7 linked regions of the Canis lupus familiaris genome follow. The protein of the gene in region 4 interacts with the protein of the main gene of each other region in a biochemical or structural test. Links are inferred from orthologs where the notes say so. Each region holds a gene or a part of one and is shown on either strand. Other genes may lie near its edges.

The links.
Region 1: of the proteins of AKT1 (region 4) and PPP1CA, one has a biochemical effect on the other in vitro, tested with the Homo sapiens proteins (3 studies listed by BioGRID and IntAct, with this or other methods). The link is inferred for Canis lupus familiaris from reciprocal best matches to the Homo sapiens genes AKT1 and PPP1CA.
Region 2: of the proteins of AKT1 (region 4) and CDKN1B, one has a biochemical effect on the other in vitro, tested with the Homo sapiens proteins (2 studies listed by BioGRID). The link is inferred for Canis lupus familiaris from reciprocal best matches to the Homo sapiens genes AKT1 and CDKN1B.
Region 3: the proteins of AKT1 (region 4) and PPP2R1A form a complex in vitro, tested with the Homo sapiens proteins (2 studies listed by BioGRID and IntAct, with this or other methods). The link is inferred for Canis lupus familiaris from reciprocal best matches to the Homo sapiens genes AKT1 and PPP2R1A.
Region 5: the proteins of AKT1 (region 4) and NF2 form a complex in vitro, tested with the Homo sapiens proteins (2 studies listed by BioGRID, with this or other methods). The link is inferred for Canis lupus familiaris from reciprocal best matches to the Homo sapiens genes AKT1 and NF2.
Region 6: of the proteins of AKT1 (region 4) and MAPKAP1, one has a biochemical effect on the other in vitro, tested with the Homo sapiens proteins (3 studies listed by BioGRID, with this or other methods). The link is inferred for Canis lupus familiaris from reciprocal best matches to the Homo sapiens genes AKT1 and MAPKAP1.
Region 7: of the proteins of AKT1 (region 4) and MXD1, one has a biochemical effect on the other in vitro, tested with the Homo sapiens proteins (2 studies listed by BioGRID, with this or other methods). The link is inferred for Canis lupus familiaris from reciprocal best matches to the Homo sapiens genes AKT1 and MXD1.

Annotation. Positions count from the first base shown.
Region 1 is NC_049239.1:50,565,326-50,569,404, reverse strand, and holds the start of PPP1CA (serine/threonine-protein phosphatase PP1-alpha catalytic subunit), read right to left. Parts: upstream 2,801-4,079; 5' UTR 2,705-2,800; coding exon 2,650-2,704; intron 2,125-2,649; coding exon 1,993-2,124; intron 1,837-1,992; coding exon 1,606-1,836; intron 1,050-1,605; coding exon 945-1,049; intron 749-944; coding exon 525-748; intron 442-524; coding exon 307-441; intron 230-306; coding exon 119-229; 3' UTR 1-118. Other genes in the region: TBC1D10C (carabin), read left to right, coding at 3,979-4,079. UniProt on the Homo sapiens protein: Protein phosphatase that associates with over 200 regulatory proteins to form highly specific holoenzymes which dephosphorylate hundreds of biological targets.
Region 2 is NC_049248.1:12,564,997-12,568,035, reverse strand, and holds CDKN1B (cyclin-dependent kinase inhibitor 1B), read right to left. Parts: upstream 1,648-3,039; coding exon 1,173-1,647; intron 623-1,172; coding exon 501-622; downstream 1-500. UniProt on the Homo sapiens protein: Important regulator of cell cycle progression. Inhibits the kinase activity of CDK2 bound to cyclin A, but has little inhibitory activity on CDK2 bound to SPDYA. Involved in G1 arrest. Potent inhibitor of cyclin E- and cyclin A-CDK2 complexes.
Region 3 is NC_049222.1:105,602,393-105,605,892, reverse strand, and holds part of PPP2R1A (serine/threonine-protein phosphatase 2A 65 kDa regulatory subunit A alpha isoform), read left to right. Parts: intron 1-1,261; coding exon 1,262-1,435; intron 1,436-1,701; coding exon 1,702-1,762; intron 1,763-2,398; coding exon 2,399-2,553; intron 2,554-3,500. UniProt on the Homo sapiens protein: The PR65 subunit of protein phosphatase 2A serves as a scaffolding molecule to coordinate the assembly of the catalytic subunit and a variable regulatory B subunit.
Region 4 is NC_049229.1:72,734,917-72,738,870, forward strand, and holds the start of AKT1 (RAC-alpha serine/threonine-protein kinase), read right to left. Parts: upstream 2,801-3,954; 5' UTR 2,757-2,800; intron 1,414-2,756; exon of another isoform or gene 1,395-1,413; intron 926-1,394; exon of another isoform or gene 802-925; intron 464-801; 5' UTR 371-463; coding exon 325-370; intron 1-324. UniProt on the Homo sapiens protein: AKT1 is one of 3 closely related serine/threonine-protein kinases (AKT1, AKT2 and AKT3) called the AKT kinase, and which regulate many processes including metabolism, proliferation, cell survival, growth and angiogenesis.
Region 5 is NC_049247.1:23,221,827-23,225,976, reverse strand, and holds the start of NF2 (merlin), read right to left. Parts: upstream 2,801-4,150; 5' UTR 2,431-2,800; coding exon 2,317-2,430; intron 1-2,316. UniProt on the Homo sapiens protein: Probable regulator of the Hippo/SWH (Sav/Wts/Hpo) signaling pathway, a signaling pathway that plays a pivotal role in tumor suppression by restricting proliferation and promoting apoptosis.
Region 6 is NC_049230.1:57,532,008-57,535,962, reverse strand, and holds the start of MAPKAP1 (target of rapamycin complex 2 subunit MAPKAP1), read right to left. Parts: upstream 2,801-3,955; 5' UTR 2,526-2,800; intron 1-2,525. UniProt on the Homo sapiens protein: Component of the mechanistic target of rapamycin complex 2 (mTORC2), which transduces signals from growth factors to pathways involved in proliferation, cytoskeletal organization, lipogenesis and anabolic output.
Region 7 is NC_049231.1:69,850,522-69,854,562, reverse strand, and holds the start of MXD1 (max dimerization protein 1), read right to left. Parts: upstream 2,801-4,041; 5' UTR 2,716-2,800; coding exon 2,643-2,715; intron 1,976-2,642; coding exon 1,876-1,975; intron 1-1,875. UniProt on the Homo sapiens protein: Component of a transcriptional repressor complex together with MAX. In complex with MAX binds to the core DNA sequence 5'-CAC[GA]TG-3'. Antagonizes MYC transcriptional activity by competing with MYC for MAX binding.

The sequences.
Region 1 (4,079 bases), on a different chromosome or scaffold from region 4:
ACACCAAGGCTCCGTGTTCCCCGTGACAGGTGGGCCTGGGGGGCCAGCGTGAACCCCCTATGGCCACGTAATTTCTGTACAAATCCACCATCTGGGGCAGAGTGCGGGCACGCGGAGGCTATTTCTTGGCTTTGGCGGAGTTGCGGGGTGGGGTGATGGGCCGGCCTCCAGGGTTCAAGCCACTGAATTGCCCGTATTTCCCCTTGTTCTTGTCAGCGGGCTTGAGTATCTAAAAAAGACAAGAGCTGGTCAAACTCATGGGCTAAGCCACAGGGTCACCAGCCCCCCTCCTTCCCCCATCCCAACCTGGAAGGAGCACATGAGTGTCTCATCCACACTCATCATGGCGCCTGCATTGTCAAACTCGCCACAGTAGTTGGGAGCCGAGAAGAGAGTCACCAGCTGCCGCTTGGCAAAGAATTCATAGCCATCTTCTACCACCTGGATGAGGATGGGGGCAGTTTGTTCAGCAGGTGCTGGCTACCCAGGCCCCACTCCCACCCGCCCCAGAGCTGCCAGCCCACCTGGTGTGCCCGGCAGATGAGGTCCAAGTCGTGCTTGTGCAGGAATTTGGCCACTACCTCAGCCCCAAAGGTAAAGGAGACACCACGGTCATTCTCGCCCCAGCCCTGCACGTCCTTGTCAGGGTCAGACCACAGCAGGTCGCACAGCAGGCCCTGGTCCGGCACGTCTGTAGGCCGCATGATACGCCGAATCTGCTCCATGGACTGCAGGTCTGGGGACAGGCCTGGGGGAGGGCAGGTTACTTGCTTAAGCCTCAAAACAAAGAGTGACATGCAAACCAAGACCACTGGGAGAGGTCTTCCAGGTGACGGGGAAGACATCCTCCAGCTAACAGCCTCATCCCAGGGCTCCCCGGGATGTGGCCCAGGGCTCTTCCTTCCCAAAGAACCCTTCAACATGTACCCTAGAGCCACTCTCACCTCCATGGCAGCAGAAGATCTTCTCATCCACGATGGCAGCAATGGGCAGGCAGTTGAAGCAGTCAGTAAAGGTCTTCCACAGTTTAATATTGTAGCGTCTCTTGCCTGCTGGGAGGAAGGAGATGCCTCATGAGGCCTATCTGCCCCACAGCCAGCCTGGGTCTTGAGGCCCTCCAGACACAGCTGGGAGAAGAGAATGGCAGACAAGAAGAGAATCCCCCCTCCCCCGACTCCGCTGCCTACCAGCCTTCCAGGAATTCTAAAGCAGCTAGGTCCAGAGGAACCTGAGTTCCAATCCGAAACAACCCACCCGCACCCAGTGAGCAGGGCCAGGCCAAGACTAGGCCTGGTTTATCTCAGCTTCTGGTTGGTAGGATCCAGTCCAAATAGGCATCCCAAGTGCCTAATGGATGTCCTGGAGGGGAGTGTCATGAGGCAGGGCCCTGCATTAGAACATGGGCAGTCCTCAGCAGTCACTCCCCAGACCCCTCCTGCGTGCCGGCCCCACGGCAGGAGGGCAGGCAGAGAGGCACCAACTGGTGTGCACCCTTCGCAGAGCTCGCGGTCTGTGGGTAGTGGTCAGACACCAATTCCCCTACTGCCAGGCCTATGTGAGGGTCTCCCCGAAAAGGGAAGTCACTTAAGGACTTGGGCTACTCACACTCATCGTAGAAGCCATAGATGCGGTTGATGCTAGCACACTCATGGTTCCCACGGAGCAGGAAGAAGTTTTCGGGGTACTTGATCTTATAGGCCAGCAGCAAGCAGATGGTTTCCAAAGACTGCTTGCCCCGGTCCACGTAGTCCCCCAGGAAGAGGTAGTTGCTCTCTGGAGGGAAGCCACCATACTCGAAGAGCCGCAGAAGGTCGTAGTACTGGCCATGGATGTCACCTGTAACCCAGGGAACCGGTTCAGCGCTAGGTGCAGGGGCTACACTTGAACCCAGGGCCAAGTTCGGGCTCCAGGGAGCAGCAATGCAAGGACTGGGCGGGGTGAAGTGGGGATTCCACTTTCAGAAAGCCAAAGGGATCTGGGCAGCAGACTCACCGCAGATCTTGAGGGGTGCCTCCAGCTCCAAAAGAATGGGCTGGCTCAGGAAAATCTCCCGTGATTTGAGGCACAGACCACGGATCTCGTTCTCTGTTAGCTGTACATTCTTTCCAGGCCGCGAGCCCTGCACTGTGGGAGGAATGGGGTGTCAAGACTCTGGTCCCTCAGGCAGGAGGAAGGTGGGCGACACAAGTGGCCCTATGGGCACATCTGAGGGCGCCTGGGCCTCCTAGGCCCCTCCCTGCCTAGGGGCAGCTGTTGCTGGTGAGCCTCCCAGGACCTCCGCCTCTGGCCTCCCAGGATGGGACCCCCTCGAGGGGGTGTGCTGTGCGCGGGGGCCTGCCACCCAACACCCCACCCATAGCGCAGGACCCCTGGGAGGGGTGGAGCTAGGCTTCTTAGGTTTCTCCCTCACTCCCAATAGCGCAGGCCAACCCGTGCGCCCCCCGCCCAGGAGGGGGGCTGCTCCCCGTGCCAGAGCGTCCCCGGAACCCCCCTCCCCCGGCGCGCCGCGACTCGGGGGGCGGCTGTGGCCACGGGACCTTGCGGCCCGTCCCCGCCCAGTCTAAGCTGGCCCGGGGAGGGGCAGGCCCGCCCGCGCACCACTTCCGGGCCAGGGCGCGGCGGGCACCGACCTCCCCGGCCCCGGCCAACCTTCCAGCAGGCGCCCGATGATGGAGTCCAGGTTGAGCTTCTCACTGTCGGACATGGCGGCGCCGCCGCTCCGCCCCAGCAGCTCCGGGCCCGCTCCTGCCGCCCTCCCTCCCGCCCGCTGCCTCCTTCCGGCCTGGCGCTCCTTCCGCCCGCCCCGGCCCGCCCCGGCCTGCCGCCCCGCCTCCCCGGCCCGCCGCCCCGCCCTGCGCGCTGCCCCCGCGCTCTAGCGCTCCCGCCGGACACCGCGCGCAGCGGCCGCGGCGGCCCGGGGGGCGGGGCATAGGGGACGGGGCGGGGCTCGGGCTGAGCTCGGCCGTCGGGACGGAGCCCGGCCGGTGGGTGGAGCTCGGAGGGCGGGGTCGAGTCTGGTCCCGCCCCCGAGGAGTTACCCGAGTCCAGTTCCGAGAATATGGGGCCGGAAGTGCTGTGGGAGTTGTTTGTCTCTGTCAGACGCTAACCCACCCCCTGGGCGGGAGCGTGGTATGAGCACATTAATAACCGATGCTCCAGACACTGCGGATCAAGTCCTCGAAGTGCAGAAAAGGAAACGGAGACTCAAGAGATAGCAGGGGGGTGGGTTGGTCCAAAACCCTGGCCTCACATTCACGGGGGGCCTCCACCTCCTGAGTCTCTGCGGCCCTCAAGGCAGCTGGCCAGACCCAGGCACCTGCCGCGGCGCTCTGAACCCATCTTGGTCCACGCTGTGCTGCACGCTGAACTAATTTTTGTAAGTTCCGTTATTGCCTGCTGAGTGCATAATAACGCTGCGTTAGGTATATATTCAAAGCATTACTTGTAAAGAGCAAATATTAAATAAACGAGAATTCTCACTGGAATCTTGAATTGTTTTAACCTCAAAACTGGAGGGGCCTGGCCTCTGTAACTCGGGTGGGTCCTGGACTGGTCACACCCTGCTCTGGAGCCCAAGCCTGCAGCCACCCAGCCCATGGGGAGGGTGGGAGGAGCCCACGGTCCTGGGGGCACTGGGGCAGGCCGGAAGAGCCTCAGAGAGGAAGAGGTGACCCCCCCACACACTTGGGAGGGGAGTGTGGGAGGGGCCCCCCAGCCGGTGGCTGAAGCTGCTGAGAAGGAGGAAGTGAGAGGAGGAGGTGAGGTGCAGCAGGGAGGTAAGCTGGCCTGGGGGGGCAGGGGCTGGGCCTGGGGACCAGCCTCTACACAGAGGTCTGGCTTTTCTGCCATTTCAAGGCTCACTCTCACCCTCACCCTCCCACCCCGATAAAAGAGGGGACAGAGGGGGCTTGGTGAGATGCCCTGAAGTCTGTGCCCTCTGAACCCTGCAGCCAGGTCCCCGGGCTGGGGACCGGCTGGATGGGAGCTCAGGCCCCAGGCTGGTCAGAAGCTGCCTCTCACACTGGCTTTCCCCACATCTTGCAGCCTGTGGTAGCTTGGGTCTGGGGCACCATGGCCCA
Region 2 (3,039 bases), on a different chromosome or scaffold from region 4:
TGCACCCTTTCCCTCAAATTTTAACTTTTATCATTTATTTGCCTTCTTCCCATGTATGGCTCAAAATCTGTTACTGACTCAACTTGAAACCTCTGGGAAAAGAATTCTTATGAAGTGGGACTGAAGCATATCCCAGTTCTTGCTCAGATGGGGGGAAAGAACCTATTGTTCCCAACGGTTTTGGTGGGATTCACAGGGAATTGACCTTCCCACTCATCATCCAGCCTCGGTCACAAGTACTTTGGCTAGGACACTTGCTCTGGTTATTCCGTGTTTTCAAGGAAAAATGACCTCAGGACGTAGACAGTGTGAAAAAAATTACAGGATCCCCACCAGCGATTCCCAGCCTTCCCCATTCCTACTTTTCCACCTCACAAAATAGAAACAAAAACCCACAAGCTCCATTCTGCCAGCAACCACCAAGATTGGGTATCTCGGGGTGTGAAAGCCCATTTCGGAGTGTCAGTTTCTTGCTCCTAGTCATCAACCCACCGAGCAGTTTACGTTTGACGTCTTCTGAGGCCCGGCTTCTTGGGCGTCTGCTCCACTGAACCCGCGTTCGGGGAACCGTCTGAGACGTTTTCTTCTGTTCTGTTGGCTCTTTTGTTTTGAGGAGAGGAATCTAAGGGCAGGAGGGAATTTTAAAAAGAACACACACAATCTTTATTAGAAAAACAATGGCTGACACAAGTTGGCACAATAGTCAGGGGATGAAAAACCCACACCTCCACCCACCATCCTGGATCCGTCATTCCCGGTGGCCTTTAAGGGCACAGAATGAGGTTGTTTTCACATAACAGAAAGTGTATTCTATGCCCCTAGAGCTGTCTCGCTGTCTCTCTCTCTCTCTCTCTCTCTCCCCACTGCAAAGAGGGAGGCCGTTGATAAACATCCCAACGTAGTCACAGACCCAGCGCTGGCCAGCCGGGAGGAACTGCGATGTTTTCGGTTGGAGCAATGATCAGATAACAGCATCTCACTGACTTAAAAACAGGCTCCTGACTTAAAAATCATAAGCAGCCAGGCAGCCAGGCGGACAAGCATTTAAAACCCAAGAGGAGGGCAGTTCGCTCCCCCCACCCACCTCCACTACATCGGAATACTCTGGAAAAGCAAGCTGCGGTTAGGGTCCTGGGCACCCAGACCTTCTCTGCTTGGGGAGGGGTCGTTACCGTCGGTCGCGGGTCGCTTCCTGATCCCAGTGCACTGCTCCGCTAGCCCCGTCTGGCTGTCGGGCGCATCAGTCTTTTGGTCTACCAAGTGTGTGTCCTCTGAGTTGGCCTGAGACCCCAGTAAAGGCCCCGCCTGGCGGGTCCCGCTGACGTCCTGGCTCTCCTGCGCCGGCACCTTGCAGGCGCCTTTGGGTGGCCGCGGGGGTCTGTAGTAGAACTCGGGCAAGCTGCCCTTCTCCACCTCCTGCCACTCGTATTTGCCCTCCAGGGGCTTGTGATTCTGGAAATCAAAATTCCACTTGCGCTGGCTCGCCTCTTCCATGTCTCTGCAGTGCTTCTCCAAGTCCCGGGTCAACTCTTCGTGGTTGACCGGGCCGAAGAGGTTCCTGCAGGCGGAGGGCTTGGGGTACTCGGCCTGTCTGGCGTCCATCCGCTCGAGGCTCGGGCTCCCGTTAGACACTCGCACGTTTGACATCCTCCTCCCCGGTCTTCACGACCGCCGCGAGCGCGCGCGCTCTCTCCCTCTCTCGGAAAACAAAACTGAACAAAACAAAACGCCCCGACCCAGCCCGAACCGCCCCCTAGAAAGCCCTGCGATCGCGCTCGGAGCCAAGAGAAACAAACACGCGCAAGTAACTGCCCGAGCGTCAGGGGCGCGCTGGCCCGGGGGAGGCGGGAGGCGGGAGGGGCAGGGGTGAGGGGTGAGGGGAAGCCCCGGCCCGGCAGCCGAGAGCCGCCGCCGCTCTAGCGGACCGGCGAGCGGGAGGGCGGGGCGGGGAGGGGAGAGGAGAGGAGAGCAGAGCAGAGGCGAGCAGAGGCGAGCAGAGGAGGGCAGAGGAGGGGAGGGGAGGGGCGGCAGAGCCAGTCCAAGCCCGGGCTGCCGCGAGCCCGCGGGTCCCGCCAACCGAGCGGCTCTCCAAACCTTGCGGACGTCGGCGTCGCGGAGCGGCGAGGCAGTGGGGACAGGGGAAGGGGAGAAAAACACCCCGAAAGGACGAGCCCCCTTTTTTTTAGTTGCCCAATATGGCGGTGGAAGGGAGGCTGACGAAGAAGAAAATGATTGACACCGCAAGTCTATTTAAACAGAGGAGGAGATCCATTGGTTGCGGCGCCGGGAGCCGCCCCGCCGAGGCTGGCGAGCGCGGCCTTAAGGTGGCCCCGGCGGCCGCGACGCCTCCCGCTCGCCCCGCCCCGCCCCGCCCCGCCCCGCCCCGCCCCGCCTCCCCGGGCGCGCGCCCGCCTCCGACTGCGCCGCCCGGAGCCTGGCTGGTCGCGTGACTCCGGAGGTGCGCGGCTGCCAGCAAACCTGCTCCGGCTGGCCTCGGAGAAATTAAAAACGAGACAAACAAACTAGCCAACCGGCCGGGAAGCCGGGGAGGGCGGGGGCGGGGGCGGCGGGGCCGCGGGTTCAGGTCCCCGCGCTGCGCTGCCTGGCGCGCCCGCTCCGCGCGCGGGGAGACGGAGGGGGCAGGATCAGATGACCTCCTAGGTGGCCCGGTGGCGAGCTCGTCTTCCCCGCGCTCGCCGAGCCGGGGGTGCGGGCCGCGGGGGGCGGAGGCTGGCCGTGGGAGCTCTGCGCCCCCAGCTGCGCTCTCCCCGCCCGCCCCCCCCCCGCTGCGCTCTCCCCCCCCCCCCCCCCCCCCCCCGGCTCCGGCGCTGCGGGGAGGCTGGGCGGCCTTTGGCGCTCGCGGAGGGGCCGGGAGCCGCGCCCCCGCCCCCGCCCCCGCCCCCACCCCGACCTGGGTGCCTCTGCTAGCGGGGAGCAGTGGTTAGCTCCCTCTGAACCTAGGAGGCTCTGCTGTTCTGGGGGAGGCGGGAGCTCTGGGAAGACGCCAAGGCGAACGTAGGCGCAGCACTTCTCATGTAT
Region 3 (3,500 bases), on a different chromosome or scaffold from region 4:
GACAGCACCTATAGAGTATTGCCAACCACAGAAGGTGGTTGAAGGTCACTGTGCCTTGATTTCCAGGGATTTTATTGGGGATTGGTCACATAGCCATGGAATGGAGCTGCCTGTATGATTGACCTCAGTTACTCTGTCTCCAAGGCCCTCCAGAGGTCAAGTTAATTGCTTGATCCTTGCTGTGAGTCATGTTGTTAGCGTAGTCTGTCTGGCACAGCCCAAGTCTCCCAGGTAACCACAAAGACCTCTCATCAGGCAGGATATTCCAAGGGCTTAGAGATCTCACAGAAGCTGGTCAAGGACCCAACCCTTGTTAGGAATGTGCCTCATTTGAGCAACCTGGACCTGCTGAGTTAACCCTTTATTGTACTGCACACTTGTTCACTTGAGTCACTGAATTGTGTCTTACTTGGTTCAATTTAGGATTCCTTGTGATGTCTGCCATCTAGGAATGTGTAATTTGACACAAGGATCTAGTAGGGCTTCTGTTTGATTAATAAGAACTAACTGTGTTTATGTATTTTTTCTTACACGTTGTTCACATACTTTATGGAAGTAGGTTGGGTACGTACATCTGTGTATGTGTGAGTACATGTATAGTAACATATGTGTATACATACATAGTAAGTCAGTGCTCGTAATACTGGTAGTCAGCAGGCAGCTCAAAAGTATTTTTGTCCCATTGTGCATTCTTTCAGCAGAAACGTATTGAGCACCTGCTATGGGCCAGAGACTATGCCAGTTACTGGAGACATAAAGGATGAATGAGATGTGCTCCTTAACAGAGTTCAAAGACTAGCAGGGAGAACAAAAATCAGAGAACGGATACTAATGAGCTCCCACACATCAAGCATCTTGTGGATCAGATGCCAGCAGGCACTTTGATGGCCTCAACCACCCTCAAGGCTAGATGTATGCTTCCCTGTCACAGATTAATATCCAGGGAGTTATTGCCCCTTGCTGATGGGATCCCAACTGACTTGCAGCAGAGTGGGAATGTTATCACATCTCTTTTTTCCAGAGCAACATATTTTTGTAGTAATTCCTGCAGGTTCTTCAGAACAACTACCCATGTCTTGTGGTCTGTGGTGAGATTCAAAACGCTGCCTCACATAATAACCCATGCATGCTACTTGCTCAGGAGAAGCTGGGCAGGGCAGTAGCAGGCCCTCAGGAAGTGTGACTTTTATGGAGTTGATGAGGGGCAACTCTCAGCCCTCTTCTGGGCCAGGTACATCTTCTCAGACCCTTGTCTCCTCAGTGTCCAGAGGTGCGGCTCAACATTATCTCCAACCTGGACTGCGTGAATGAGGTAATTGGCATCCGGCAGCTGTCCCAGTCCCTGCTGCCTGCCATTGTGGAACTGGCTGAAGACGCCAAGTGGCGAGTGCGGCTGGCCATCATTGAGTACATGCCCCTGCTGGCTGGACAGCTGGTGAGTAAGGTGGCATGGGACCAAGCACCATTGTGTGCAGTGTGTCTAGGGCTATGACAGTGTCCCTGGGGCCCGTGAGGGCTATCTGAGGAGAAGGAGGAAGAGGCATGGGAAATGGGGCTTATAAGGTGAGTAGACTTTAGTTAGAAAAAGAGAAGGGAAAGGAGCTCCCCAGGTGAAGCTGAGAAGTGTCCGATGTGTTTGGGTGGGTGTTTCCCTAGGGTATCATTGGAAACTTGATTCCTTAACCTTTTTTTCTCCTGCAGGGGGTAGAATTCTTTGATGAGAAGCTCAACTCCTTGTGCATGGCCTGGCTTGTGGATCACGGTTAGTCTCTCTAGTGGGACAAAGGAGGATATTGGTATTCCAGGAAGGCTGGATGGGCATTGGCTGGGGCTGACGGGTGTGGAGTCACTTTCCCAGGCTATCTGCTGCTGTGTGGACTTATTCCCTTGCTTTTAGAATCCTAGGGAAGTGCAGGATGGGAGGGGGACAGAGCAGATCACATAGAGGTGGCCTGGTCCAGTGGAGAGAGGGTGCGAGGGCTACTGGGTGGATGACCTGGGCTGGAATCCTATCCCTGGCTATGGAATCTCAAGCACACTCCTTTGTGAAATAGGGGGCTTCTCAGTCTTTCAGGGCCATTGTGAGAAGTGCTAATGAGCAGTTTTCAGTGACAGGTAAAAATTAAGGTTAACATTTGTCTGTATCGGAACAATTCCAAGTATTAATTACGGAATGATTTGCTTGAGCAAATCACTTCTCAGAGCTGCGGTTTACCCATCTCTAAAGGAGGCCAATAGTGAAACCTATGTCTTAGAGTCATTGGGAGGTACTGTACAAAAAGAAACCCTATCTTTAGCACGCAGCAAACCCTTTGGTTCACCTGTAGCCCAGTACCTAGGTGACTGCTACTCCCTGCCTGCTTATTCCTTTACCTCCTGAATCCCTGCCCTTTTGCAGTGTATGCCATCCGTGAGGCAGCCACCAGCAACCTGAAGAAGCTGGTGGAGAAATTTGGGAAGGAGTGGGCCCATGCCACTATCATCCCTAAGGTCTTGGCCATGTCCGGGGACCCCAACTACCTGCACCGCATGACTACGCTCTTCTGCATCAATGTGAGCGCCCCCGCCTGACCTCTGGCCTGTGCCCAGGGACCTGGGAGTATGTAGGGGAGGAGGGATGGCAAGAGTCTTTAGGAAGATATCTGGCTTAGGAGCACAGACATGGTGAGGTTTGGGTGGGGCAAGGATGATTCCCTGGGGGAACAACAGGCCAGAGGGTGGGGACCTGTATGGTGAGAAACCCAGGACTGGGGATACTTGGCCTGCTGAACAGTGACTGTCTATACCCTTCCGAGCATCCCTCTCCTCCACAAAGTGTATTTGTATATTTGTTTATGATAGTTGGTTATGTGTACAGGTTCTACAATCAGAGCTACTCTTTAATTCTACCTCTGCCATGTTTTAGTCATGGACCTTGGGATGCTTTTTAACTGCTCAGTGCTTTAGTTTAGAATCCTAGGGAAGTGCAGGATGGGAGGGGGACAGAGCACTCATGCTGGTAATTGCAGTACCTTACTCACGAAGTGGTGAAGATTAATCTGGCTATATGTGCAAAGGTTTTAGAGCAGTTATGTTAATAGGAGCAAGGGCTCCTTTTTATCCGTTTAAGTAAATCATATAGATAACTAGAAATTAAAAGATAGAATTTTAAAATATTAATAGAACTTAGTGTTCTGATTTCTTCCCATATCCCACTTTGGAGAGCATCGCGCTAAGGAAAGCATCCCCGAGGGTTAGGAATCAAGCATCCCCAGAGGATAAAAGGAATTCTGAGGATGGAGAAATGAGACCAGGACAGTCTGGGCTGGGGGTTTCCAGAATAGGGAGACAGTGGTATTAGGGCATTAGGAGGGTATTAGTGGAGATGGTAGCTTTGGAAGAATCAGCTGTCCCCAGGGTGGGTGAACCTGTGCCCAGAGTTCCCCATATTGCTCAGCATCACCCTCAGGCCTGATAATCACTGAGGTGGCCTGGTGAGAGGAGGGGGAAATGGAAATTAG
Region 4 (3,954 bases):
TCGCTGCTCCAGCACATGCACGCCCCGTGCCGGGCCCCGGGGTGGTGCGGAGCCCCCCCAGCCCAGGCCCGAGGCGGGCAGCAGGCCAGGCGCAGCACCTCAGCCCTGGCCTCAGGAGCCCTCGGGCAGTGCCCCGGGCCGCCAGCGAGCCAGGCCTTGGACGCGCCCCAGTGGCCTCCCTGCCTTCCAGGAAAGCGGGCAGGGAGGTGGCGGTGGCTCTCCCGCCCTAGGGACCCGGCCAGGCGGCCACTACGCCAGCCCGGCCACCCGAGGGGAGCCGGCCCCGGGACCCCTGCCCCAGCCCCAAGCCCCGCGGGCACTGACCTCTCTTGTGCAGCCAACCCTCCTTCACGATGGCCACGTCGTTCATGGCGCCCTGCTCCAGCGGGCCGGGGCCACCCCAGCGCCCCTCGCTGGCCCCTCTCAGCAGGGTCTCCCCGAGGCCAGCCGGCGTACCCAGCCTCTGGAAAAATCAAGGGGCAGCGTGTGAGGTTGTGTCCACCCCTCCAGCCCCACGGTGAGGCCAGGAGGCCCTGCGCACCCAGGATCCCCTGCGGGGTCCTCCCACCCCCTCACAGCCCTGAGCCACAGCCACTCCCCATGGCTCCCACCACGGCCCCCGACAGAGTCCAGGTTACCAGCCCTGCTCCCTGGGGCCGAGGCTGCAATCCCCCTGCCACCCCTCTCTGACCCCCAGGTCCCCAGGGTCTGCTGGCCCTCCTACATTCCCACTTCCCCCCGCCTGGCCACAGACCATTCCCCACCCCAGAGGCCCTCCGGGTATATCCCAGCCTCCCTAACCTGCCACCTCCTCCAGGCAGCCCCTCTGACTGCTCTGGTCTATGCTGCTTGGCCTCTCCAGGGCCCTGGTGAGTGCCCCTGAGCTCCCTGCCCACAGGCCGGGGTTCCTCCTTCTCGCCCCAGACTAGGAAAGAGGAGAAATTCAAACAGAACAAAGTAGGGCCAGGAGACCAGGCGGCTGGCGCAAATGAGAGCCCGGAGCCCTCCAGGGTGACATAAAATACCTCCCCCCAAGAAACCCCAAGCCCCTCCTAAACCACAGCACCCCTGCCGGTCTGAATCTGGTTCATTCATCCGGCCAGCACGGACCAGGCATCTCTGGTTTCGCCAGGCTCGGCCCCGGGGACAAAGAGAGGTTCACATGGTCCCATCTGAGAAGCACCCAGTCCAGGCTGGTCACAGACCCATAATTACAGCATTCAGGAGGCAACAAATGGGGGGGTGCTCTAGACAAATGCAGAGGCCCTGGCACCCGCCCTGGCCCACCAGCAGCCTTCCCTGGAGCAGACACTCTGGCCATTGAACCTGAGGGGCCCTCCCCGTCGCTCCCTGCTGGATGAACTCCTAGGCATCCCTCAAAACCCAGTTCACACCTTCACCCACTCTGTGCGTCCTGGGAGAGAGCACTCTTCCTGGGCGCAGTCCTCTGCGAGCCCTCCACGCGAGCACTGCCGAGGGCAGCCCGGGAGCCTCTCGACTCGGGGACCTCGGGCCCAGGACGCCAGGGGACCTCCGCAGCGAGCCCAGCTCGGCTCTTCCTACAGCTGCCTAGGCACCCTCTGGCCACGCACCTTACCGGCCTCCTGGGGCAGGGTGAGGACCCAGGGGAGGCTGCTCTGAACCTACGGTCTTAGGCTAAATTTAGAAGAGCGAGAAGCCCCCGCTGGCTGTGTGTACCGCCAGGCCAGGGAACACACTTTGCCCAGGGAGAAAGTGCCCAACGGGCCCCGCAGGCCACCGGCAGCCGAGCGCGGGGAGCAAGACCTCCAAGGACAGGGCTCCGAGCCCCGAGCCCCGGGGCAGGCCGGGGCCCCTCTGGGGACACAAGTGGGCGTGGCCTGGAGGCAGAGGGCTGGCCTCGGAGACCTCTGGATGTCCCCCGCCCCCACCCTGGCCTACGTGGGGCCGCGGCTGACAGAGTCAGACAGCTGTCGAGCCCCGCGTGTAAAAATATATCTGTGCACACACACAGGCTGGTGTGCATCTGCAGAGAAACGCACGCAGCAGGCCAGCGCGGCAGCCTCGGGGCGCACTCGGGGCGCACGGCCGCAGGGACGGGGTCCCCGTTTCCCACGGCTTCCGGACCCCAGGGCCTCCACCCCGAGGGCTGCTAGCGTCGTTATTATTTAGGGGATGGCTCAGGAGGCGCTGCCTGCGCTCACAGGGCCCCTTCCTCTGCCTCCAAAGGCCGCCGTGGGGCCGCGGGCTCAGCTCGCGCAGGGCAGGGGACCCAGGCCCGCCAGGCGCCCCCGCCCTCCCGTTGCACCGGGCTCGGGGCACACCCGGGCCCCCGCCCCCCGACAGCGCGCAGGAACCCCCGGCCGGGTGGGCGGCGCCCCCGGGCCCACCGCTCAGGCGCAGGCTGCAGGCCCGCAGCGGGCGCGGCCCACAAAGGCCGCCGGGCACCTCGCCATCACGTACAACTTTCCGTCTCGCGGCCGCGGAGGGCTCCGCCGCGGGGCCCCCCGCAAACTCGCCGCGGCCGCCGCACCCCGCGAGCGCCCCGCGCCCCGCGGCCGCCGCCTCCAAGGTCAGGAGGGAGGCCGGGCGCACCCCGCACCCCGCCGCCCGCCGCCCGCCGCCCCGGCCCGGCCCGGCCCGGCCCGCGCCCTCCCCGCCCAGGCCGCGCTCGGCCACTTCCTGCTCCGCTCCCCGCCCCCGCCGCGCCCGGGCCGCCGCCGCCAACAAAGCGCCCGCGGGAGGAAGTCGGGCCGGGGCGCGGGCGGGGCACTCACCGGGCGCCTCCGGGCCGAGCGCGGGCCTAGCCGGGCCGCGGCCTCCGGCGCCCGCCGCTCCGCATCCCCGCGCGCCCGCCGGGCGGGGCCGGGCTGGAGGCCGCGGCGGGCGGGCGCTGGGCGGGCGGGGCTCCGCGCCGCCGGGCCCGGTGCTCGTGGCGGCCGCCGGCTCGCGTCCCCCGGCTGCGCTGCTGCGCTGGCTGCGCTGGGCCGCCCGCCCGCCCGCCCGCCGCGCTCGTCCCGCCGCCGCCGCCTCCGCCTCCGCCGCCGCCGCCGGCCCGCCCTCTCCCCGCCCCGCGCCGCCCCGCCCGGCCGCCCGCCCACATCCGCCTCCGCCGCCCGGGGCGCCCCCGGCGCGGCCGGGGCGAGGGCGCGGCGCCGGGAGCGCGCGGCAGGCGGCAGGCGGCGGCCCAGGCTCCCCGCGGCCGCGTGCTGCCCGGCCTCAGTTTCCCGGCGCGGCCCGGTTCCGCCGCGGCCGGTGGGGCCTTCCCGGGGCTCCTGCCCCCGTGCGCGGGGGGAGGATGCCCGGGGGGGGGGGCGCAGCCGAGGTGACCCTCAAAGGCCCGAGGCACGACCCGGCCCCCCCATGGGGCCTGGGACCCCGGCTGCAATGCGCGCCCGGGACACGGGGGCTGCGGAGGGAGGGGTCCCAGGCCCCCGGGCTGCAGAGCCACCTTGCCCTGGGCACGACCCTCCATCCCTGGCCGCGCCTTCCCAGAGCTGCCCGTGGCCCCGAAGCAAGACACCGACAGCTCTACAGGAGCAGATGGGGGGCTTCCCACGGTGACAGCGGGACAAGCGGGCCCCAGGGACTGTGGCGGCTTCCAGCGCACACCTGGCGGGCGGTGCCTGTCCTGGGCTGGGACAGACACCCAGAGAAGGGCTGTCAGAGGGCAGCCCAGGCCCCTGCCCGCCACCCAGTGGGGCCCCGGCCTCCCACAGTCCACCGGGCAGGGGTGGGCAGCGAGGCGCGGGCGAGGCGGGAGGACACTGCAGATGACCCCTCCCCGGGCCCTGCACTCGGCTAGAGCCAGAGATTTCTCCAACAGCTGCCCCTCCCCCCACCCCTGAGGCCTCCAAGTCTTAGCGATCCTTTTGTGAAAGGAAAACTCCGCGAGTTACGCTCCAGGAGCGTGTGTTCTGTGGGGGAGAGGGCCACTTCGGTTCCTTATCCAGGGTCAGAGTTCCGCCCGGGGGA
Region 5 (4,150 bases), on a different chromosome or scaffold from region 4:
GGTTCTCCCCATCCCAGCCCCAGGGCTTGTTATTGGTTTGTTCATTTAGTGATGAGCTGGAATGTTTTAGTGAAATCTATCTCCTTCACATAGTGTTAAGGCCTATGATGTTTTCTTCAGAGAGGCACAAATTCAGTTATGGCCACAGTCATCCTTGGGTGTCAGTGGTTTTAATAGGGCTCTTTCTCATCCCCCTAATCACACCCAGCTGTTAAACTCCATTAATTGTGTTTTAGTCTTCTATTATTTTCATCCATGCCCTGGAGCATAACTTGCTCTACAAAGTAATCCAATCAAGGGTGGCTCTTTGGGGGGTAAAGTTTTTCAATCCCATGAAGGGCTCTTCCCAGCTGTTTTAGTTCTCTGATTCTCTACTGCAAACTAGCTGGCCTACCTTCTAGGCTGGATCTTCATTAAATCCATAACCTCCGGGATCCCTGGGTGGCGCAGCGGTTTAGCGCCTGCCTTTGGCTCAGGGCACGATCCTGGAGACCCAGGATCGAATTCCACGTCAGGCTCCCTGCATGGAGCCTGCTTCTCCCTCTGCCTATGTCTCTGCCTCTCTCTCTCTGTGATGACTATCATATATAAATAAAATTTTTTTAAAAAATCCATAATCTCCTCCCAATTGCCCTTCATCAAATCCTCCACTGTTTTAAGAGTTCCTTTAGGGATACACTTCTCCACATTTTGTTGCAAATGAAGTAACTGCCTTTGGGAAGAGAGCAGGAACTACAGGTTTTAAAGCCGCCTTCTCCCTCCAGGTAAAATCTCTGAGTCCTTGGCGGAAGAGGAAGGATTGGGGGAACACACAAGCCTGAAGTTTTCTCAGTTTGCCTTCTCTGGCATGGAACCACCATTGCACAAGCTGGGCCTGGGCCAGGAGTAACCGGGGCCCCAGTAGTCTCAGCATGCCATGCACAAGGCACAGCTCCCATTCTGTGAATAGGAGCTGGATAGAAGAAGTAAGCCCCATCTTTCAACTATACACATCTGGTACTTAGTCTCAGCAACAAGTAAGCTTATGCAGAATAAGAAACACTGAAATCCTGTTCCTCCTGGGAAAAAAGTGGTCTGACAGGGAGCTAGGGAAGAGGGAGCCCTGTGTTCTGGGTTACAGCAGTCTGGAGTGGAATCTCTACTCTGCTGAATTGGAAGTGGGGAGGGAGGTAGTAGCCTTGGTTCAAATACCATAGACTCTCGCCTTAGCAAATTTTCATAGATTTTCTCAAATAGCCCTTTATTCATTTGATGAATGTTTGCCCTTAGGACCATTTCCAGAAGGTTTAAATAGTTGAGTTTTTTGAAGTAATTTTTCCTAGTCCTCCAAGGGAGGTCAATGAAGCTACTCACACTGTCATACTAGAAGTGAATCATCAGGCTGTTTTTGTGCTATAATAGTAGAGCTGAAGGACTAAGTAGTTGTAACAGAGATCCTATGGCCTGCAAAGCTGAAAATATTTACTACGTGGCCCTTTACAGAAAAAGTTTGTCAACCCCTGACTTAGGTCACTTCTGTCAGTGCTGCTGGTTTCACAGACTACACTTTGGACTAGCAAGGACTTAAATTACATGAGAAGCAGTACTATTTTGGCTAAAAGCTGGACTTAAAATCCCACTTTGCCACAAACTAGATACATAGTTTGGGGTGCCTACCTCATTGGGTTGTTGTGAGAATTAAATGTATTAATGTCTGACTCTTACAACACATTCAACAAATGATAACTGGTATCATCATGGTGTAAACTGCATGAAAAATATTAGACATCAACTCTCATCTGAAATAGTTCACTTCCAGAAAATGGAAGCTTTTGGAAAAAAGGAAGTAAGTATAGATTTTCCAAAACACAAGACGCAACTTTTAATACCTGGGGCACATAAAAATATCTAATGAAGTAAAACAAACAAACAAACAAACAAACAAAAAAAAAACCATAGAGCTGGAACTTAAGCCTGACACTGAAAACCAGAATTTGGCCTTCCACGGACGCTTCCAGTAACAATGAATGAAAACCTGAATGAAGTGCTTCCAAACCCAAAAGCCCTAAGAAAAAAAAGAAAAAGAAAAAAAAAAAAAGCAGCAATTATCTTTAACATGAGGATTTGGGCCTAGATGGCTCCTTCTGGTTCTGGCTGGCTCCGTCTATGCTCAGAGATGATACGAGCTGGATCCCTCAAGCTTCCACCTTGACTGTCACCGCGGCAGGGGCGCCCCAGCTGGTGCCCGACCCACAGCGGGGCCGGGCGAGCGGGGATCCCGCCGGATTCCGCCCGGCGCCCGCTTGCCACAGCCCGTCGGGGTTGCCAGTCGGTTACCTCGCAATTGAACTCCATCTCGGCGTCCATGGTGACGATCCGCACGGTGAACGTCTTGGGCTGCTTCCTCTTGAGCGAGCTGAAGCTCATACGGGAAGCGATGGCCCCGGCCATGGCGCGGGGCTCAGGCCCGGGACCCTCGCGCCCCGAGGCCTGCGCTCTGGACCTGTTAGCCCCCCTGGAGGAGCCGCACAGGCCTCAGGGCCACCATGGTAGCCGACTGGCCCGCCTGGGAGCTGGCTGGTCCGCGCGGGCCCCCAGCGGCCAGCATGGGCCGTGAGGACCCTGCCCCGGGAGCGTAAAGAGGAGTTGGGGGGCGGACCCTTACGGCCACGGGGACGGAACACGAGCCAAGACCAAGCGGATGGGCTCTGCCCGGCGCTCAGGGTCTCGGGCCGGGGACGCTGGGGACGCCCCGGGACTGGGCCCCTAGACGGCAGCGGCCCAGCCCCCGCGCGCCTCGAAGCGGCCGACGGAGGTCTCGGGGCCGCGCTGCGGCCGGGCGCGCACGTGCGCGCGTGGCTGTCACCGTCCTCGCTCCGCGCGCCCGCGGGAAGCGTCCCCTCCCCACAGACCCCGGCCTGCTCCCCGCCCCGCCCTCAGGTCCCCAGATCATTACACGCAGCGCAACCGAACCCGGCGGCTGCCGCCCGGACACCGCGATTGGCTGAGAACCCCAGGGAGGCGGGACTTTTCCTGCCAGTCCACCCTACTTCAGAGGGACTCCACCAATCGGAAGTTCCGCCGTGATTGGAGGCGCGGGCCTGGGCTCGGCGTTGAGTGGCCAGAGTGGCAGTCACTCCGAACGCTTTTGTTCGCAGGGAGTACGCCTACTCTAGCAAGATTGGTTGAGGCAGCGGAGCCCGGCGCGCCTTCCACGGGCAACCACCTAGAGGCTGGCACGCGGCTGCGGGTGGGTCAGCGGGCGCCTGCCCTTCGGACTGAGTACGCGTGCAGTGTGGTACCCCAGAGGGCGCGTGTCGGACACCCGGCGGAAAGCCCTCCTCGGCCCTTAATGGCATATGCTGACCTCTGTGTTTCTCTAAACTTTTCAAGTCACGTGGAAGCTGCTTAGCTTGCTGGCACTCCCCCAGATCGTTCTGCTTCTCCCCGGGAGAAAGTGTGTTATTACCAAGGAAGGGTGATGATTGTACCTACCCCGTGGGGTTGTTGAGGAATTTAAGGACGTTAATACATAGAAAGCTTTAGAACGGTGGCTGCTGGCATATACTAGGTGGAATCCTATGAAATTGCTGTTTTTCATGAGAGACTCCTAACTCTGGGAACTGAACAAGGGGTAGTGGAAGGGGAGGTGGGAGGGGGGTTGGGGTGACTGGGTGACGGGCCCCGAGGAGGGCACTTGGCGGGATGAGCACTGGGTGTTATGCTAAATGTTGGCAAATTGAACTCCAATAAAAAAATTTTTTTTTAATTGCTGTTTTTATACATACACACAGAACAGTCCAAAAAATGAAAGCGTTTCTCATTTTGTATTCTGATTTCCACTTTCAAACCATAGCTGTGTTTTATTTATTTTTTAAATGTCATCAAGTTATAGTGGGTGTGTTGTGAGGTGGGGGTGTATATAGCTTTCTGTATTAAAAATATAAATCCTACTTTTAAGTAACTCTTAATAAGGGACACCTGGGTGGCTCAGTGGTTGAGCGTCTGCCTTTGGTTCAGGCTGTGATCCTGGGGTCCTGGAATTGAGTCCTCCATCAGGATCCCCTCAGGGAGCCTGCTTCTCCCTCTGCATAGGTCTCCCCCCTCTGTGTGTGTGCGTGTGTGTCTCGTGAATACATAAAGAAAATCTTTTTTAAAAAAATAACTCTTA
Region 6 (3,955 bases), on a different chromosome or scaffold from region 4:
CTCATTAAATATTCACAACACTCCATGAGATCAATATTATCCCCCTATACCAACCCATACTTGAAGAAAATAATGACTGGAATTAAGAAACTTGCCAAAGGTCAAGGAATAAGAGTAGGGACAGGAATTAAATCCAGAGACCACGTTATTCTCTATAGAAGGTCTTCCATTCTTATATTGAAAGTTGAACTGACCCACCTACTACCTTCTCGCCTTGAAAGATCACAGTTTTCTCTACATTTAAAAGACTCTTCTGGGGGAGGGGGGATCCCTGGATGGCTCAGTGGTTTAGCGCCTGCCTTTGGCCCAGGGCACAGTCCTGGAGACCCGGGATCGAGACCCATGTCAGGTCCCTGCATGGAGCCTGCCTCTCCCTCTGCCTGTGTCTCTCTGCCTCTCTCTATATATATATCTATCATGAATAAATAAATAAAAATCTTTATTAAAAAAAAAAAAAAAAAAGACTCTCGGGAAGCCCTGGTGGCTCAGCAGTTTAGCGCTGCCTTCAGCCCAGGGCCTGATTCTGGAGATCTGGGATCGAGTCCCACATCAGGCTCCCTGCACGGAGCCTGCTTCTCTCTCTGCCTGTGTCTCCACCTCTCTCTCTCTCTCTCTCTGTCTCTCATGAATAAAATAAAAAATCTTTAAAAATAATAAATAATAATAATAATAATAAAATAAAAGACTCTCTGTAACATTCATTTTGGCATTCATATTTTTTCTCTTTTATAGTTTCTTCAATATATACTTGTATATAGTGTTATGGTGTGTGAAAGAAGGAAACACATAATGAAAAATGCACAGATGTAGGCATGGGACAGACGTGGGGTTAAATCCTGCCTGTCTCGTACCAAATGTGTAATTTATCCCGAATCTTCCTAATCTGTAAATTGAGGCTAAAATGATTAAGAGAAACCTAAATATAGTTTCAGCACATGGTAAATAACCACATCATGAAGCATTACCTGATCATAGCACACTCCTCGAAAGTTAATACCCCCCCTCACCCCCATGCTATCACTGCATCACAGAAAGTACCTTCACACAGTGTACTTATCACTGTCTTGAAATTATTTCCTTATCTCTCTCACTAAATTGAGCTCCCCACAGGCAAGGACTGAGTCTTACTTATCCATACATTGTCTAGCATGGTACCTGGTGCATGTGTATGTGTTCAGTAAATGTTTGCTAAGTGAAATTATTATAGATATGAGTATTTATAGGATTCCAAAAAAGAAATCTTTCCCAACTGGGGTTGTCTCAAATTGGTGGAGGGAGACCAATTTCTGCTGGGCCCTAGGTAACATCTCAATGAGTAGAAACAAAAGGAGAAATCTAGGCAAGGAGAATGTCCTACAAAAAAACAATGGACAAAGAGAAAACAAATGGGATCTGAGGTGCTACTTATCTAGAGTAAAGGATCAGGGTATAGAATTAAGGAAGGGGACTTTTTCAAGCATAGCTGGAGCCACATCAAGAGGCGTAGAATGTGAGTAGCCTGGCACCACAGTGATTGAAAGTAGATATGAGCATAAAGCTAAATGACAAAGGGGCCACAAGCATGCCTCGCAGGCCCCAGCAAGTGTGTAAACTGAAAAAGATGAACACAATAATCAATGTTCATCAAGAATTCTTTCAGCATTGACTAAGCACCTTGTATGGGCTCACCGAATGAGGAATAAAACATGGTGCCAACTTTTCCTGTTATACTAGGATTTTAAATGAACAATCCACCCCTTTTACTTGTGAGACATAGAATGAGAATGTTGACTTTGTTTGAACTGCCATGTGTTAAGACCTGTCTCCATTTGTTCACATCTGGGAAGCTTTGAACTTCGATGGTTTTGGTTTAAAACATGATGCTTCGCACCGTGCCAAGTACTGTATGGAACAGGCTTCAAAAATTAGGTGCATTCATTCCAAATAAAATCTCAACCAATTTCTGAGTCAACTTTTGAGTCTCCAGTTAAAAGTAATAATCTTGTTTAAACTACTTTTTTGTTTTTTGTTTGTTCGTTTAGCCTTAACCAGATTTAGAAGACCCCTTTGCCATTCTCATAAAAAGCTGAATCCAAGTTCCAGCAGCACTCCAGCTAGAAATAAAAAATAAAAAAAAAAAAAAAAGTGTTGCGAGGCCGCTTACTCCTTTGGGACAATTGTGGAAAAGGAACGCTAAGGAAACAGGGACCACAGAGACAATGCTTTAAACACAATTTTCATGTTACGAAGATTAGGACAACTACATGTTGCCAGGTGGTAGGACCAGAAACTGTCAGAGCCAACCCTCCCCCCCACCCAACACTACCCAGTCCACGGGCTTCTCCTCCCCCAATCAGACACCCAAGCTGTCAGGCTCACAGCAGCCTCCAGTTCTGGAAAAGATCAGGAAACGGATGCTCAATGAAGCCCTGATCAAGGGCCAGGCAGGCTACCGACGCAGGGCAGCGCCCAGAAGGGCCGCTTGGCTCCTCGGGTAGGTTGACCCGAGAGTGAGCGAGGAAGCTAGCGGCTGGGGCAACCTTTACCTGAAGCTGCTGCCACACTACGGGTCGGATCGGCCCGGGGATACGTTCCTGAGGGAAGGGCCCGGCTTCCCCGCGCCTCCCGGTCCCTGCCCCGGCCTCCGCACTCTCGGAATCCTCGGGGACTGGCGCTCCTCCCCGCCGGTTCAACTGCCGTTTTTCTGGCTCGCCCTCATGCCCCCGTCGCTCGCCGCCGCCGCCACCAACGCCGCCGCCGGAGCAGCAACCCTGTTGCCCCAAGTCGCGCCACGACCCGGAACCGCACCCCGCGCACCGGAAGTCCCCGACCGGGAAGAAGCCGGAGCTGGGGACGTAGTGCGCAGTGCGCAAGCCCCAGAGCCGACGGCTCGGAGAGGAGCCCTCCCGGGGGGCGGGGCCGAGCGGGACGTGGTGGTACGCATGCGCGGCCCTTCTGCGGTCGGTGTGAGGCCGGGGTCGGAGCTTGCGAGCTGGGGATGCGGCGGGACGCGCTGATCCGTGGATTCGCGTCGGATAGGGATCAGCATTGGGGTTCGCGCTCACATTTCCTTGGTTCTGCATGGAAAGAAGCCCTCAACCCATCCAGAAATGAGTGATGAGACAGCTCCGCCTCTAGGTCACGAAGACTTGGGTTCAAATGCCAACCGCACCTTGTGTAGCCTCGGAAAGACCCCTGTCCTGGCTGTCGGTTGTGTCATCCGGACAGTAGTTCCGATTTTATTTATTTTTTTTTTAAATATTTTATTTATTTATTCATGAGAGACACAGACTGAGAGATTGAGAGAGAGGCAGAGACACAGGCAGAGGGAGAAGCAGGCTCCATGCCTGGAGCCTGATGTGGGACTTGATCCCGGGACTCCAGGATCACACCCTGGACCAAAGGCAGGTGCCAAACCGCTAAGCCACCCAGGGTTCCCCAGTAGTTCCGATTTTAGAGTATTCCTGTGAGAATCGAATGGGACGATACTTGTAAAGCATTTAGCACAGTGCCCGACGTAAACACCTAGTAAGAATGTTAGTTGTTACCTCTATTATCTGTAAAATGGGAATAACTATCTTCCTCAAGAACTGCAGGGAAGTGATTGTGTGTGTGTGTGTGTGTGTGTCGTCTATATTTCAATATTTCAAATTTCAATATTTCAGATTTCTATATTTCAAAAATGAAAAAAATTTTTTTTTTTTTTTTAAAGAACTGAAGGGAGGTTTCCATGAGCTAAGAGGACTGGCACAGAACAGGAGCTCGCTGTTGGCCTTGTGTCTCCTGACAGAATGGTTGGAGGAAGACACCGTGAAGGGGAAAGAAAGACCCGGGTTGTGCAATATGATCTCTCTCCTAAGAGATGGCCTAGAAAGCCTCTCAAAAATGCACCTTGGCAAAAAGAAAAAGGGGAGGGAGGAGGCCCCAGGGCAACATCACACAACATTGAAGTCACCAACAAATACTCCACATATCC
Region 7 (4,041 bases), on a different chromosome or scaffold from region 4:
GGTAAGGGTCATTCCCAACGGGGCATGAAGGAAGTGACCACAGTAAAACAAAACAACCTGCTCTTGCTTCACGTTTGCTTGGTGCCATCTCCAGGCTTAATCACGGCCTCTCGGAGATCCGGCACCACGCAGGTACTACGCTAATTCATTATTAGTCAGGAATATGGGAAACTGTGACAGCCTCTGGTCTGTAACCGTGGAAAGCACACCAAGCCCATTAACAGAAGAGAGCTCTTCCCAAACTCAGAAGTCACAGCTATTTTCTCCGTAATAACGTTGGATATTAAAGAGAATCTGCTTCGTGGCTTGCGATTCTCAGCTATCATTATTTTTCTTTCCTAATCACCTTCGGGGACCAGCCTACTTCTCTCTCTCAACACCCTTTGCTCTTCCTCTCCCCACCACTGAACCTCCCCCAACTTTCCTGCGAAACTTAGGAAAAAATAAAGTGCTGAGGATTAAGCCTTGACGAGTAAGGTGGACAATTCCTCCTAAACCATGAACGGACAGGAATAAAAGCAACAGTTGGGCTACCTTCTCAGGAAAAAATACGCCAACAAGCTTCAAAATTCTTCCAAAAATTAAAAAAAAAAAAAAAAAAAAGACTAACAAGATGCAACACAGCTAAATTGTTTTATAGCACTGCAGGATACAAGTCAGGCCCTAATACCCACACACGGATCTATTCGCTACCACTTTCAGGTAACGCGGAAGATGGGAGGGAAAGAGAAAACTGTGGGGTGGTTAATTACCAGGTTCATCCCTCACGTGCCTTCCTTCCTCGGCAAGAGCCCAGCACATGGGTGCTGCTCACATCCTGTGGTTCTAGCAACACTAAGGACAATGGGATGAATCAAGGACAACAGCAGCAGCAGCAAGAACAAGTGGGTTTAGGTTTAAGTGGGACCTCCTGGCTTTTAGTGGTGTGTGTGACGTCACAGGGGGTGACCAAATACAGTTACTTGCAGGGAGTTATACATGACGGCGGGAGAGGAATAAGGATTGTAAGCCAGTGATGAAAATGTGAGGGGCTTTAATTTACTGGAATGAAAGGTATAAGTAAAGAGACCTAACAGGTTTCCTAGCTAACTTATATTTTAAGGGCAAAGAGGGGGGAAAAAAGGGGGTAGGTTTATTGAGTTCTCATTTATAGAGTACTCATAGGTACTCAGGGCTTTAATGTGATTTCACGGACCCTTAACCACCTGCTTTCCAGTGAGATTCACAGATTTTAAGAACTATAAGCCAAACGTAAAAGGATCGTGGCATATTAATATTTTAATATTAATCCTCCATCACCAAAAGGGAGGTTTCAACCTCAATCATTCCTCTTTGCCATTATAAGTAGATGTAACAGAGGAGATAAACCATTGCATTTAATTTACATGTCGAATATGAAGTCCTACCCCTAAGGCTAAATCAGATACTTTAACGTGTCTGTACAATCTTCACTATGAAAAGTAAAAGAAACGGATAACGTCCAGCCTCTTTGATTATTTAAAAAAAAAAAAAAAAAAAAAAAAAAAGCTTGCCCTGAATCTGCAACTTCTGTAGGCAAAATATTGTCACGGTTACCAATCTCACTGGAAGTTTCCACAGATTTTTGTTGTTGTTGTCGTTGTTCCAAAAGGGAAGAAAAGCAAAAATTAAGTTTAAAAAGTTCATAAAGAAGCGCAAAGCTTTTCCATTTCTCCTTTCTGTCCCCTCAACCCAAACAGAAGGGCTGCTTCCTCCAGTGGCTTAGGACCATGTGCGCCTTCCTGAATCCTGATCGCCACTTAACGCATTTTCCTGGGTCATAATCACCACAGGCCACTTCCATTCTGCAGTTTGTATCGTGATCCGAGAGAGAAAGAGAAAGATTTACGAAATTACCTGCTACTGCTGTTATTCTTCTTGGATTTGTTCCTCCGTTTTAAGGCATCTCTGTCCTTGTTACTGTAGGGTAACATGGAGGCATAACCATGTTCAGCTTCTAGAAAACCGGAGGACCCAGTTAATGAATGAGCCTGGAACCTTCAACACTCCCCCCCCCCCCAGCCCCCTGCACAGGAGCTCCTTGTAGACCTTATTTTTCATCACGAGCATGTGATGAAAAGAAATTTCTGTGTCAAGAAATAAGCGATGCAAGGTGGAATTCTTAGAACAAGGATTTCTTTTTTTTTTTTAAACTCCTCCCTTAAATTGTGTGAGCACCCTCAGTCCGGAGCAGGTGCAAGGAGCGAGCGAGCTGCTCATTGTTGAGGCTCAGCTCGCGGAGCCCGGGCTGCCCGCTGGGGACGTCCCGCAGGTTGGTGCGCCCTGCGCGGGGCGGCATCCCGGGCACCCCGAGCACCCCGGGCACCCCGCGCACCCCGAGCACCCCGGGCACCCCGCGCACCCCCGGCACCCCGAGCACCCCGTGCACCTAGCGCACCCCGTGCACCCCGAGCACCCCGTGCACCCCGAGCACCCCGTGCACCCCGAGCACCCCGGGCACCCCGCGCACCCCCGCCCCCCCGGGCGGAGCGGCCTCCCCTCGCACCGCGCGTGGGGCAGCCGGAGGGTTGGAGGCGCTCGCGGTCGCGCCCTCCGCCCCCCCAGCGGCCGTGCCCCGCAGAGCCCCCGGCCCCGGCCCGGCGCGGACCCCCGGCCCCGTGCACCTCTCTCCCGCCGCTCCAGGTAGTCGGCCGCCTCCAGCAGCATCTGGATGTTCATCCGAACCGCCGCCGCCATTCTGCACCGGGGGCCGCGGCCGCGGGACCAACCCCCACCGCTCGGGCTCGCCGCCGCCGCCGGGCCCCGCGGAGCAGGGCGGGGAGAGCCTGTCGGGCGACCGCGCTCGCCGGGAGGGAGGGGCCCGGGGCGCTGGGCGCCGCCGACACCGTGACAGCAGCCGGGGAAGAGCCGCCGCCGCCACCGCCGCCGAGTGTTTATCTCCGACTCACCATCCCCCCGCCCCCAGGCCCTGCTCTTGACAGGCCCGCTCCGGCCGCGCTCCCCATTGGGCGCCCGGAAGAACGCCCCGCCCCCGGCCTTGCCCGATTGGGGAGACGCGCCGCGGCCCCGCCCCCTGGGGTCCGCTCCTCTCTCTGGTTGGTCACGCTTGACAAGGCCCGGGCTCCGCCCCCTCCTCCCAATTGGCGGCCGGGTTCGCGACTCCGCCTCGTGCTCCTTGCCCGCTGCCCATTGGCCCGACGCCGACGGCCCCGCTCTGCCTTGCCGCCATTGGCCGGAGCGGGGGCAGCGAGCCGCCTTGCCGGCCTCCCATTGGCGGAGCCGCCGAGACCGCCCAGCCCCGGTGACGTCACCTCGCCGGCCCGGCGGACCCGGGAGGCGGTGAGCGGCCGAGCTCCCGAGCTCCCGAGCTCCCCGGGCCGCGCCGGCTGCGGGGCTGCCCCGGGCGCGGCGCTGACTCACCGGCCGCCGCGGACCTGGGCGCCGCCGCGCATCCCCCGCAGCGAGGGCGCCGGCGGCCTGGAGGGGCCGGGCCCCCGCGGGCGCCACGTGGCTCGCGCCCCCGCCCCCGCCCCCGCCCCGGGCGCCCTGCACCTGCGGGATGACCCGCGTCCTATCACGACGTTCTTTGACCTCAGTCTCGTTCAGGGTCTTTCCTTCCCTTTTAATTGTCGATGAAAACGTTTAAGAAAAAAAAAAAAAAAAAAAAAAAAAAGCTTTCTCTGCTCAAGACTATGGATGGGGTTTGTGGGGGGGGGGGGCGGTGCCAATAGAAATATATGGAACTAAAAAAATTAAGGATTTAAGCCCTATCAAGATTTTTGAGAGGAGAGCCGGCTGGAGGCCCAAGTTACCCTGTTAATATACTGACATCTGCATTTTAAAAAGGAAGAATAAATGTCTTGGTCAGCTTGGACAGATTCCATACAGCTTAAAAAAAAAAGTTTACTGTTGCCAATACATGAAAATAAGAGCTTTACTGTTTCACGTGCATTATCACTAGTCCTCCGTGCAACCCCATTAGGTAGGTTAATTATCTACATTTTGCATACAAGGAAACGGACCCAGAGACGCTAAATGACTTTCCTTGTCATCCATTTAGCC